3 linked regions of the Oryzias latipes genome follow. The protein of the gene in region 3 binds, or shares a complex with, the protein of the main gene of each other region. Links are inferred from orthologs where the notes say so. Each region holds a gene or a part of one and is shown on either strand. Other genes may lie near its edges. The genes, in order: dcaf1, ccna2 and samhd1.

The links.
Region 1: the proteins of samhd1 (region 3) and dcaf1 are in contact, whole or in part, in a crystal structure (PDB 4CC9), measured with the Homo sapiens proteins. The link is inferred for Oryzias latipes from reciprocal best matches to the Homo sapiens genes SAMHD1 and DCAF1. Residues at the interface, in NP_056289.2 of Homo sapiens: Ser616, Arg617, Val618, Gln619, Lys622; in NP_001336097.1 of Homo sapiens: Asn1090, Glu1091, Asp1092, Thr1114, Gln1116, Asn1132.
Region 2: the proteins of samhd1 (region 3) and ccna2 are in contact, whole or in part, in a cryo-EM structure (PDB 9HIW), measured with the Homo sapiens proteins. The link is inferred for Oryzias latipes from reciprocal best matches to the Homo sapiens genes SAMHD1 and CCNA2. Residues at the interface, in NP_056289.2 of Homo sapiens: Lys615, Ser616, Arg617, Val618, Gln619, Leu620, Phe621, Lys622; in NP_001228.2 of Homo sapiens: Met210, Ile213, Leu214, Trp217, Glu220, Val221, Glu224, Arg250, Leu253, Gln254, Tyr280, Ile281, Thr282, Asp283, Asp284, Thr285.

Annotation. Positions count from the first base shown.
Region 1 is NC_019865.2:16,270,412-16,273,661, reverse strand, and holds the end of dcaf1 (DDB1- and CUL4-associated factor 1), read left to right. Parts: coding exon 1-79; intron 80-175; coding exon 176-455; intron 456-1,411; coding exon 1,412-1,467; 3' UTR 1,468-2,616; downstream 2,617-3,250. UniProt on the Homo sapiens protein: Acts both as a substrate recognition component of E3 ubiquitin-protein ligase complexes and as an atypical serine/threonine-protein kinase, playing key roles in various processes such as cell cycle, telomerase regulation and histone modification.
Region 2 is NC_019868.2:207,597-211,854, reverse strand, and holds the start of ccna2 (cyclin-A2), read right to left. Parts: upstream 2,839-4,258; 5' UTR 2,471-2,838; coding exon 2,270-2,470; intron 1,963-2,269; coding exon 1,710-1,962; intron 1,613-1,709; coding exon 1,506-1,612; intron 1,436-1,505; coding exon 1,212-1,435; intron 1,137-1,211; coding exon 932-1,136; intron 854-931; coding exon 740-853; intron 565-739; coding exon 431-564; intron 1-430. Other genes in the region: bbs7 (Bardet-Biedl syndrome 7 protein), read right to left, coding at 3,622-3,755, 3,841-3,964. UniProt on the Homo sapiens protein: Cyclin which controls both the G1/S and the G2/M transition phases of the cell cycle. Functions through the formation of specific serine/threonine protein kinase holoenzyme complexes with the cyclin-dependent protein kinases CDK1 or CDK2.
Region 3 is NC_019865.2:14,692,248-14,696,341, reverse strand, and holds the start of samhd1 (deoxynucleoside triphosphate triphosphohydrolase SAMHD1), read right to left. Parts: upstream 2,938-4,094; 5' UTR 2,778-2,937; coding exon 2,594-2,777; intron 2,505-2,593; coding exon 2,438-2,504; intron 2,335-2,437; coding exon 2,262-2,334; intron 1,444-2,261; coding exon 1,283-1,443; intron 1,040-1,282; coding exon 924-1,039; intron 651-923; coding exon 580-650; intron 1-579.

The sequences.
Region 1 (3,250 bases), about 1.6 Mb from region 3:
CACTGACACTGTGTGTCGCCTCTATGAAGTCGGCCGGCAGCGACTTGCAGAAGAAGAGGAGGAGGATGAGGAAGATCAGGTTAAACTTTTTTTTTTTCATAAAATCTGAACTGAGAAGCAGATCTTATACCTGCACTTTATGACTGAAACTTTAGTTTTGTTTTTTGTGTTGCAGGAGGATGATGACCAAGACGAAGACGATGACGATGATGACGATTCTGATGATGACGTTGATACGGATCCTCTCATTGCTGAGCTGGAAAACGAGAATGGAGGAGAGGATGATGACGATGACGGCAATGAAGCATTATCTCCATCCGATGAGGAAGTCGCACGCCTTCTTGAAGACGATGGAGACGTCGAGGAGGACGATGACGAGGATGAGGATGAAGAGGACGATGATAATGAAGAGGATGACTCTGACAATGACGATGCAGACCTGGAAGGTGACAATGGTGAGTATAAGTGAGCAGTCTACACATTTCTATAAGTAGTTTTTACAAGTTGCTGGAAGAACTCAGTTTTATTGACTCAAACAGAATTTTCTGTACTTGAGCGTGAATTACATATTTTCTATAAAGTAAACCACAACCTTTGATAACTTATATTATTAGGGCCACTGTCTTTCATCTAATCAGTGGTGCTCATCAATGCATTAATGAAATGAACTGCCAGTTTTCTTTTGCTATTTGTATCACAGCAAAAGAATAAAAAAGAACAGTTTGAATGATCTGGCATAGATTTGACCTTAAACTCAACCACCTGATTGCTTCCACACAGCTGATTGTGGGGAATAATCGAGTCCTTCAGGAATGTTTTTCATAGAGCTCCCTGAGGTGGATGTGCATTTATTTTCTGCTGCACTTTCAAAAAGGTTTTCATTTGGGAGTCATTCCTTTGTGTTTGGGTGCCTGTTATGGTGCCACATGATTCCAAAGTGGTAACTGCTGTTTAATTTTTAAGACTTGCAATTCAATTCATATTTGTCAGACACTTTGCCAAATAAAGAGAATTAATTTAAAAGCTACATAAACAGTTTTATTTCATATTCCTTCAGTAATAACACATTTTTTCCCAGTCAGAAAAACATGTTTCAAAATCTTTAGAGTAAAGCCTCATTGTTGCCTGTTTAACTTATTTTAAGAACAGTTTTAAAAAAAAACGTTAACCTAACCTTAAGCTTCCTCCAAAAAAAGGGTTTTGCTTTTTGAGTGACTATCTTCTATTTTTAAAAATAAAATTTGAATATTTCAGAAGTAAGTTTAAGAATAAAGACGCAAGTAAACCAAAGACCTGTATGAAAATAAAAAACGAATTAGAAAGCCTTCACGTTTGCTCTTCTAGTGTGATGCTCTGACCAAATGTTTGTTGTTTAATATCCAAATCTCCATTTGATCTGCTGCACCAACAGACAGCTCGGACAACTCCGATCTGGAGGATGACATCATCTTATCCCTAAATGAGTGAAGATACCCCCATCGTCCAGGACTGTGGGGTCCATGGAAAACCACAGTTTATTTGTCTTGATAATCTACAAAAGTCTCAAACACAGATGATCCTTGGTAGGAAAGAGCAGAGAAGAACATGGAGACATGGCATTGGGCAAAAATGATTGTAAAGTATATAACTTTCTATTAAAAATTGGTTTGATGTGTTTAAAAAGGCCACTATGTAGATGTAGTGAAAAAAGGTTTTAGAAGTTCTCACTTTATTGGCTTTTTAAAAAGCCAGTTTGTTTCAAATTGATTCATTCTCTCCATCTTTGAAGACACAAAGTATGGTTCTTCTCAACTGACTTTTCCTTTTTAATTCTCTACCCATCCTGACTGAAGGACAACATGTGAGTTGCAAGGCAAGTAGTTTGTCTGGGAAAAAATAAATAAAAAAAACAGCCCAACAACATCCGTGAATTAGGCAGCTGTAGGGATCTTAACACACGGGGCTCTTGATTGCCAAAGAGCCACTCAGCAGTTCCAATAATAGATGTTGTCTCCTGATTTTGTTATGTAAACAGAAGAATTGGATCAAGCTGTCACTCCAGCGAGTGCAGACATTGTAACAACACCAGTGACACAAGTTCACAGCCGTCCAGCAGGCAGCGGATGTCTTTAGCTCCTTACAATCTTATGGTTGAGCTCACAAAGTGATCCGACTTCCATGGATGCTCGCAGGGTTGGAAAAATGCAGGGTTTTGTGTGCTTGGAACCAGCACAGGTCCAGTTATTTAAATAAAGTTCAGAAAACTTTGTTTTATTTCTCAAATCTCATTGGTTATTGAAGTGAGTGGTTAATTAGCGGACTGATGGTTAAACCGTTTCAATTCTTGGAATATTGAGAAACTGTGATTAACGCTGCAAAAATATGCTGTGTGTGAATTTTTTTTTCTTTTTCTTTTTCCCCCCTGACATGTTGGATACTGTCATTTTTGAAAAAGCAAAGGCTTAGCACACGCACACTTTAACGCAGTGCAACATGGTATACTTTTTTGGTTCTCTTGTTTCTAGGATTTACTTTTCCCTTTTGGAGACCTTTGAGTTTCTCAACACATTTACTGTACAGGTTGTATGTATCTAAAGTATTTTTACTATAAATAAAACGGAACAATTTGTGCTTTGACTCCTGTGCTTTTTTTTGAAGAAGAGTGACCCATGTTTGCAGACAAATGTTAAATCTGTTTTTTAAGAGGAACAGTTCAAATACAGCAAAAGTTAAACACATTTTCTTATTATACAGTGTGATGTGATGATGCAACAAGGGGAGGCCAATTTATTTATACTATTATGCAATAAAGTTCCTTAGGCTTTTTCCATTGTGAATTTTAAAGACAAAACAAAAACAGATCATTTGAATGAATTAGTGCAAATCTAATGTTTGAAGGAGCATAGGGATAATTTCTACAATGGAATAGATGGTACCTGTTTATCAACATTGGACTCAGGTGATTCAAAAAGCTTTCAAAAATTCAAATTATACTCTGACATTGACATTGGTTTAACTAACTTGCTTTATTCCTATACATTTTAGTTCATAAATCCATCTTTTTTCCCCTCAAAAAATACAGTGCATTTATTTGCCTTGACAGTTGGATCACAAATGTTTTTTAACAACTTGGTTTTATTTTGAAAGTTAGTTTCACCCACATTTGCTGCATACTTTTATCATATAAATAAAAACCAACAATTTGAAAACAAAATGTTGATATTTGTACATGTTATATATATATATATAAAGCAAGTTATGTTTTTAATAT
Region 2 (4,258 bases), on a different chromosome or scaffold from region 3:
ATCTGCATTCTGATTACACGACTGAGGATTTTTACAACATTCTCAGCTTAGAGGACAAATGCTACACATTTCTGAAACCATGTTCCTCCCTGCAGTGTCACTGAAGTGAGTAACAGGCCAAGGAGTTTACCATCAACAGTGAAGATGCTGGAGTCTGGAGCCGCCTTTTGTTTCCATGCAACTTTTCAGAATTATCCGATCATCTTAACACCTCTAATCTCGCGGTACAACTAAAGACACATTTTTAGCCATCATTTAATTGAATTTAAGGTTACTTATTGTAAAAAAAAAAAAATGTGGTTGGGAAGTTTTTACTGCTAGTTGAGCTCTCAGAAATTGTCAGATTCCTCTGATACTTTTTTAGAGTAATACAAATATTTTCCAACGATCCTTAAATAGAAGTACACAAAATCAAAGTACGGCAGCTCACCTGGAGGCCTTGTACTTCTCGCGGACAGACTGCTGGGCGTGCTGAGCGGCGCTCAGGAACATCTTGTGAAGGTCTTCGATGCACGGCATCAGGTCTACTAGCATGTAGCCCGTCATCTCTGCCAAGGATTTGGGCTGGAGCAGAGCAGAGAAAATGTCAGTGAACCAATTTTACATTTCCACAACCACCATGAGCCTCAGCCTGGCATGTGACAAACAGCCCCACGTCCCCATAAAGCATCTCAAACCAAAACATTCAAGCGTATAACCCTTCACATTCCTAACTTAAGTTGGAGGGAAATAGTCTCACCCAAGAGCCGCCGGTCACTGCATGGTTGGCGAGGATGTAGGCTGCAGCCGCCGTCTGCGATGGCAGGTACTTCAAGAAGGGGTCTGAATCTATCAAACTCAACTCCCCGAGGTACTGAGGACAGATCAAGCACCGTCAGAGCACATCCATATGCTTCTGTAGACCAACACGACGGACCACATGAACACTCACCATTGCCAAGCTTTCCACCTGTTTGTTGACGCCGTGGTGGCAGAAGTACTGAGTAAGAAACTGGTTTATCGTTGGTGCTGCCAGATCAAATGACAGGACTTTGAGCACCAGATGCTCCATCCTCAACACCTGCTTCTTGGTGTACGTGTCATCTGTGATGTAGACGAACTCTGCCACCTCAGGAGGGTAAATCTCTTCGAATTTCCTGCACATACAAAGTCATTCAACCTTTCCGAACCAAACTAGTCGTGTTTTCCTGGGCAGGATAATTGGCACATACGCAGCCAGCAGCATGGCAGCAGTCCCAACAAGCTGGAGTTTGCCCCTCAGGACGGACATCGACGAGAGGAAGCGATCAATGTAGTTAACGGCCAGATACAGCGTTTCATTGTGGAGCTTGTACTCTTCTCCAACCTCCACCAACCAGTCCACCAGGATGGCCCTCATGCTGTTTGTGATGTCAGGCTGCTTCTTCATGTAGCCGGCCTTCGGTCTGGTTTTCACCTGAAACAAATACCCGATTGTTGTAGCAGAGATGACAGGAGGGGAAGAAAGGAAAAGGAGAGTCTCTCACCTCCATCTCCCTCAGGTACAAATGAATTTCAGCTGCATATTCTGGGACTTCGTTGACATTAACTTGTTTGTCGTCCACCTCCACCAACGACATGTCCATGGGAGAATCTGAAAGTCATTTAGTGCACAGATGATGACACCTCACTTTGACACCAAAGCCAACATCGGTCATTACTAAACAAGCCAAGATTCTACAGCAGCCCACCAAAGCCGGCTTCCACAACCAACGGGACATCGAGGGCAGCCAGGGGCTGTCGGCATGTCAGGGCGTTGTGGACGGCCACAGGAGAGCGAGGGGCCGGGGCCCTGGCTCTGAGGGCCTCAGACACGGTCTTCTTGGTGCAGGCGCCATCAGGCTCATCCATGTGGATCTGGAAGGCCGGCTGCTTGACAGGCGGCTTTTCCAGGACGCTTTTCCCATAATCGTCAGCTTTACAGGATGAGGGTAGAGCAGAGTCCTGGAGGCAACAGAACACAAGAAAGGTGAGTTTCTGCTCTGAAGGCAAACAGCAGCAGATCTGCTTCAGAAGACAGAACAGTCTGTAAGGTAAACTAGGAGGAGTGAGGCTAAAATGGCGCACAGACTGAACATGAAACTACAAAGACCATCTCCAGAAGCAGATCTAAGACAGGTTCAGATGCTAAAGGCGAATGACTGTTATCACGGTGCTAGAACCGAGCCACAGCCGTGAGGAACCGGGAGCACAGCCGGATAACCGGCGGCTGGCGCCCCGCCGCGGAGCGGGCCGTGCGGCGGCATGCTACCTGCTTTGCGCCGCGGAGGCTTTGGGTTTTGTTCCGCTGGTGGTTCTGCAGAGCTCCCAGCACGGTTCTGTTGGCAGCCTGTTTGGGCGGAAGGTTTTCGCTGGCTGCAGGCCGGGCTTTGATGGCGCCTCTCAGCCTGCTGGACGGCATGTTCTCCTGGTTTTGGAGCTCACTCGCCGCGCTTCGGTTTGCCGCCGACATGTTTCCTGCAACAAACACTCGCTGCTGGCTTTGACCTTTGAACTCTTCGGGACCCCTCGTCGTTCGTAGCGGGGATCGGGTCGGGTGCTAGCCTGAAGTGGAGCCGAATAAACTCAAAACTAAACAGTTGAGATGGCAACGAAAAAACAGAACAGCAGCGCCACAGCAGAGGAGCGCGTGAGCGGTAGAGCGATTCCAAAGCGCGGGACACAAACACACTACGGTTCCATAGTCACGCGGGTCCACAGCACAACCGACCAGGACACGAACCACTAGCAAGCAGACATTTAGGAACAGGGTTCTGCTTTCTCTCAGTTCAAGTAGCCCGCGAGGATTGAACCAACCAATCACAAAGCGCACAGATGGTGACGCTGCAAAACTACTGGAGCCGCAGTGGTACAAATGTCTTGATTGCAAATTCAAAACCGGTTGGACCCGTTTGTCTGCAGCGGCACAGAGCAGCAAACGAAAGGAAACGTCCCTGCTCAAGCAGACGGCAGTCAGGACGACGTCCGTGGATTTTAACCGTCTGCAGACTCTTCTGAGCGTGTTTATTTACAAAAACTAAAATAAAACGACACTTTCTGAAGTGTTGTCAGATTTCAAGTGCTTATGAGCTTATTTGACCTGCAGTTAGTAAGGATTCATTTAAAGGAAAAGGTTCTCCAAATATAATACACTGGATTCTCTGTTTAAGGGTTTAATGGCCATTATAATAAAAATAAAGAAGAACAAAGCACGTCACTGAAGATGTGTTCAGTCATGTGTTGTGGGGATTGAACAGGCAATGAAAAACACCACAAAACATTTCTACATAGTTTAATATGGTCTGATCTTTAAAAAATCATATGACATCTTTTGACTATTTCATTTTTAAATAGTTTCTCACAGAGATTTTCATATAGAAATGCAGTCCGTTTAGCTTTGATTTCTGTCTATGAACCTGTGATATGTTATTAAATGAAAAAGAGGAGTCTGTATTAACTACCTGGAGGAATTTATAAAGTCTGGATTTAAGCAGAAATAATTGTGGATTGTGAAACCGACAGCTTCTGAAAACAGCATGGCACCATGACACAAACTATAACTGTCATTACATAAAGATGCAACATAGAAGCAGAACACGTGAATGGATTTTATTTCATCCAACCTCAAACATCATTGAAAAATTCTAACAGAGAGTTTAGATCATAGTTATCCAGAATCTCCAACAGAGATGACACCTTTGTTTTCACATTCTGGCCTTTGAACTTGAATTTATCAATGAAGAGGTCAGTGATCATTCCTGCAGGAAAAACAAATATAAAGAAATAGAAATTAGTGTCAGGAGACCAACAGAAATTAAGATAAATGTGGCTTCTGCAATGTACCATAAAGCCTCTCCAGATGTGCTGGCTGCTTCTTGTATTCCTCCAGAAGACTGGCAGATTCATCCAAGATGCTTCGATACTCTGGTATGAGAAAACTGGCGTTTCCCTCATGAACCTGAAGCTCCTGACAATTCCAGAAGAGATGTGGGTGAAGTGAATGTACAGAACCTCAAGTACATCACCAAACATCAAACCTTCACAGAGAAGAGTCGCTGGTTTCCTGATTTTAATTTCAATTCAGCAGAAAATAGGAATAAGACATCCTTCATTGTAGGAGCTATATATCCCATTGTGATATATTATTTTGCCTATTTCAAATACAATTATATACATTCTTTAAAGTGCATTTCTCGCTTATTTTCCATCTCTCTCTGTTTAAATGAAGCTTCCATCTGTCACTCCATTTCAAAGTGGGCAA
Region 3 (4,094 bases):
ACATTCTTAGTATTTTTATCAAAGTTCAACTGAGAAGTTATAAAATGATATTCATGAACAAAACATCAAGCCTCTCCTCTTTTACAAGAGCCAATAAAAAGAAAGAGAGTAAATTTGTGAGTTTGTCTCCAACATGAAGAAAAGATTTCGTCTCATACAAAGATTCTAGGAATATTAAACATGAACATTCATGTGATGCAAAGTTAAACTGTTGTTAGGGTGGTGCTAGTGTTTTATCAATGACTCATCAGTGGCTCCAGGCGCTTTCCGTTTGTCTCTTAAAAACAACTTTTGCAAACACTAAACATTTCTGCAAAACTATTTCCCAGAAATTATAGCTAAACCATTAAAAAGAATTTAGTCAAAAGATCTGTTAATTGAGTTAGCATGGAAACTTCAAATATTGGCTGAAAGATTTGTGGTTGTAGAAGCATAGCTATTTATTTTCTGCATCAATATTTATTGTCATTTGCAAAGCACCCCTGTCTGCACTGGTGTGTTGATTTTGTGAGTCACAACACAACTAAGATAAGATAAAGCTCGTCTCTAAAAGGAGTTGAAACAAGGTGACTTTCCTACCTTCCAATTAACTTGTGGACAGGCTTTAGGGATAAACATGCCATCAAACATGTGGGAAAAGGGTCCGTGTCCTGAAATACAGGTCAACAGGACAAATGTAAACAGAATTAACAACATCATGAGCACCTTGGTGCACAAACAAACAGAACAGTTTGTAAATGAATTTGTTCAATGAATTGATCAGGTTTTACTTTTATAAAACGTGACTTTGTTTGTCTTTATTTTTGTGTGCTAAAACAGAAAAGTTTTGATGGCTTTGAAAATAACTAATTTGCTGTTGCATCTAGCAAAAATAATAATAATAAAAATATCTGGAATAATTTTTCTGCAGATTCTCTACTCACCCAGATCATGGCAGAGCCCTGCAATCTGCACACATAGGATGTCTCTATGACAGATCAGCAGTTCAGGCTGTCTTTCATTTAGAGCCTGAACAAGTTGTCCAGCCAAATAACCCACACTGTGTGAAGAAAGAAAGAAAAACACTTTCATAAATTAGGATTAAAAACAAACAATTATTTAAAAGGAATTCCCTGGTTTGTCATATAATTCTCTAGGCAAAGGCCATATCCATAACTTACTGAAGGCACTAACCCAGACTGTCTAAACCCTAATCCTGATATGTTTTTACTCCTTAGTTGTATATAACAGCAAATCAAGGTGTGAAAAACCCTGATTCATTCCAATCTAATTCTGTTTGTACCCAATACTGTGTTCAAAGCGGTTGTGGGATGCTCCAGGGAAAACAAAGTATGTCCCTCCAAGCTGCTTGATATTGCGTAGTCTCTGGAACTGTGGCGTGTCAATAATTTTGATGAGGAGGGGGTGCAACTCCACATGGCCGTGAATGGGGTCATTGAACACCTGGAACAAAACAAAACAACAAGCTTGATCCAAAACTGGAGCTAAATCAAATTAGTATAGAAAACAACTCATATCCTCATTTTTGATGTATGAAGCTACGTTCACATCGCCCTCGGCAACACACGTTCAAGTACTTCCAATAAAAAGCCTATGTAAATACGCATTCCGGGTTCTGCATTCAAAGCTCTCGCTCTATCTATGCAAGCTTTTACAATCACTTTGGGCCCAAAAACAAAATGTGTGGCCATGGAATGTGCGTTGCAAGTAAACGGTAAACCAGATCAAATTTTGACCTGCACTTGGCAGTGACTTATGGATATGGTTTATCTGATGAACCCAGACACACCAACAAGCCTGACGACGTTTGTTTGTCAAATAAATATAAAAACCAAGGCTACTCTCCTGACATGATGGTAATCCATATCTGCCATTGTCAGGATGCTAGAAATGAACCAAACCTTTTCCCGTTTGTGCCCAAATCGCTTGATTTAGGCCACTGTGACATTTCACACCAAGATTTTCCCAGCAGCAGGTGGTGAACATGCGCTAGTAAACAGTAGGAAAAAAAGAAGAACAAGCCCCTCCCTGTTTGTCCAGTGTGAACACCAAGGGCTAATGCACGCTGAAGAACATGCATGTAGTGTGTTTTTGAACCTGCATCAAATGCCAGGTGTGTGCATAGCTTCAGAGAACATAACTCACAAGCATAATAAGATTTCTCTATTGGGGTTGAACATCATGGCAAATACTTTTTTTCCTCAGAGGTCACCAAAAGGTGAAAGTGAACTCATTTGACCTCAAAGCCCATACGCCTTTACCTTGTTCGCCTCTGTGTCTATTTGCCAGAGTTTCCTGAGGCTGTGCAGGATGCGCAGGCGGACACCAAGACACCTGAAAGGTTTGATCACACAGGTATGAACCAGAGAAACACTGTGACAAATGATGGAAGGGAAAGGGGTCTAAAAGATAAGCATTTCTCTCTCTTTACACTTACTCTATGCCTATTGTTTTCAGGTCTGCATCATTGAGATAGCGCAGTCCAACGCCTGTGATTCTTTGTGCTTAACACAGCAAAACAAACAAATAAAAGAAAAGTAACAACAACATGGGTGTACACATACTGAAGCTGCAGGTACACAGCACACCTCACCTCTAAATGCATTCTCCCATTCCCCGAGACCTTCCTTTCGCAGAAACTGACAGGTTTCCTCCACTCCCCACTGCAGCAGGTCAGACCCCGGCAGCAGGACCGGCGACAGCCTCTTCTTCTCTGGGGTTTTGAAGCGGTCGTTGGAGCTCAACACGGAGTCCAGCGGTCGCTTTCTGTTCTCCATGCAGAAAAAGGCCAAAGGACAGCTAATCGACGGCTAATAGGGCGAATACAACGTCGCAAACAACGTGTCTTGAGACGATTTCAACGACTGATCTACCGGTGTCCAACGCAGCACGCCAAACAGAAAGATCCCGGGTTTTGTGTTTCCTCTAAATGCATCACTTCATGAACCGGGCTTTCCGGTTCTGTTTTTCACAATAAAACTATCGTTAGAATTTTCAATTGAGTGTTGAGCTAAAATTATGTCTCAAGAAAACATTGGGACATTTGAGTTTTAAACATTTTATATGAAACTCTGTTAGTAGCGACTGTTGTCTTAATTGGTATGTTATTGCTTCAGAGCATAAAACATGAAAACACTGCCTTATCTTAATTTGCAGTCAAAAAAAAGTCACAATTTTGTGCTTTAAATTTGTTTTGAATTAGAGACAGGACATAATAATGCTGGAAAATACAGAGACAATGCCTTACTATTGATAAATTGAGCAATCCCAAAAAATAACATCACCAGGGAGAAACAATGTTCAAGATCAGGAACTACCATAGGTCTGACAGACATTGGTCTGTGTGGGAGCTACAATTATAAGTGCTGTGCTTCATCTGGAAGAATGGTTCCTGCAAATTCCAAACTTTCAGACCTCAAGTTAAGAGGGGAGAGAAAGACATACAATCACAGGGTAAATTGGGAATAAAAATATCTAAAATCAATGGATCAGTGACCCTATTCAATGTATATCCAGGGTATACCCATTGACAGTAATAGAGATTTGGACTGCCATATTTTCTTATTAACCAAACAACTGTGGCTTTATCTTGACAGGATACGGGGTAGATAGAAGGCTTACTTCCGGTACATTTGCATCTTTTTATCCGCGCTCGCGCTTTCAGTGACGTGAGGAGGGCGGAGCAAGATTACTTCTGCTTTTGGAGTCTTAAATCGCGCATGGCAGTAAATGGAGCGTTGTCACCGTAAATTCTCGCTAATTTGTAAATCTGTTTTCCTCTAAATAAAATACACGGATTTCCTATGAACACTATAAAGAAACCGAAAGATGAAAAAAGAAATAAAATATTGGCAGGCTGTTTCAGCATCCGGCATTAGAGAAAAAACAAAACAAAAACAACGAGCACTTATAAAAAATTAAAAACAGTGTAGTTTGATTTACATACAGGGACTGCTGCATAATCCGGAACGTAGATTAAACAACTGATGCCAATTTAAAACGACAGATGCAATCAGATGCTTCTTAAATTTAAAGAAGCAAAATGACAAAATGCACAGACATTTTACTTTAACTTTATCTTGACAAAACCAAAC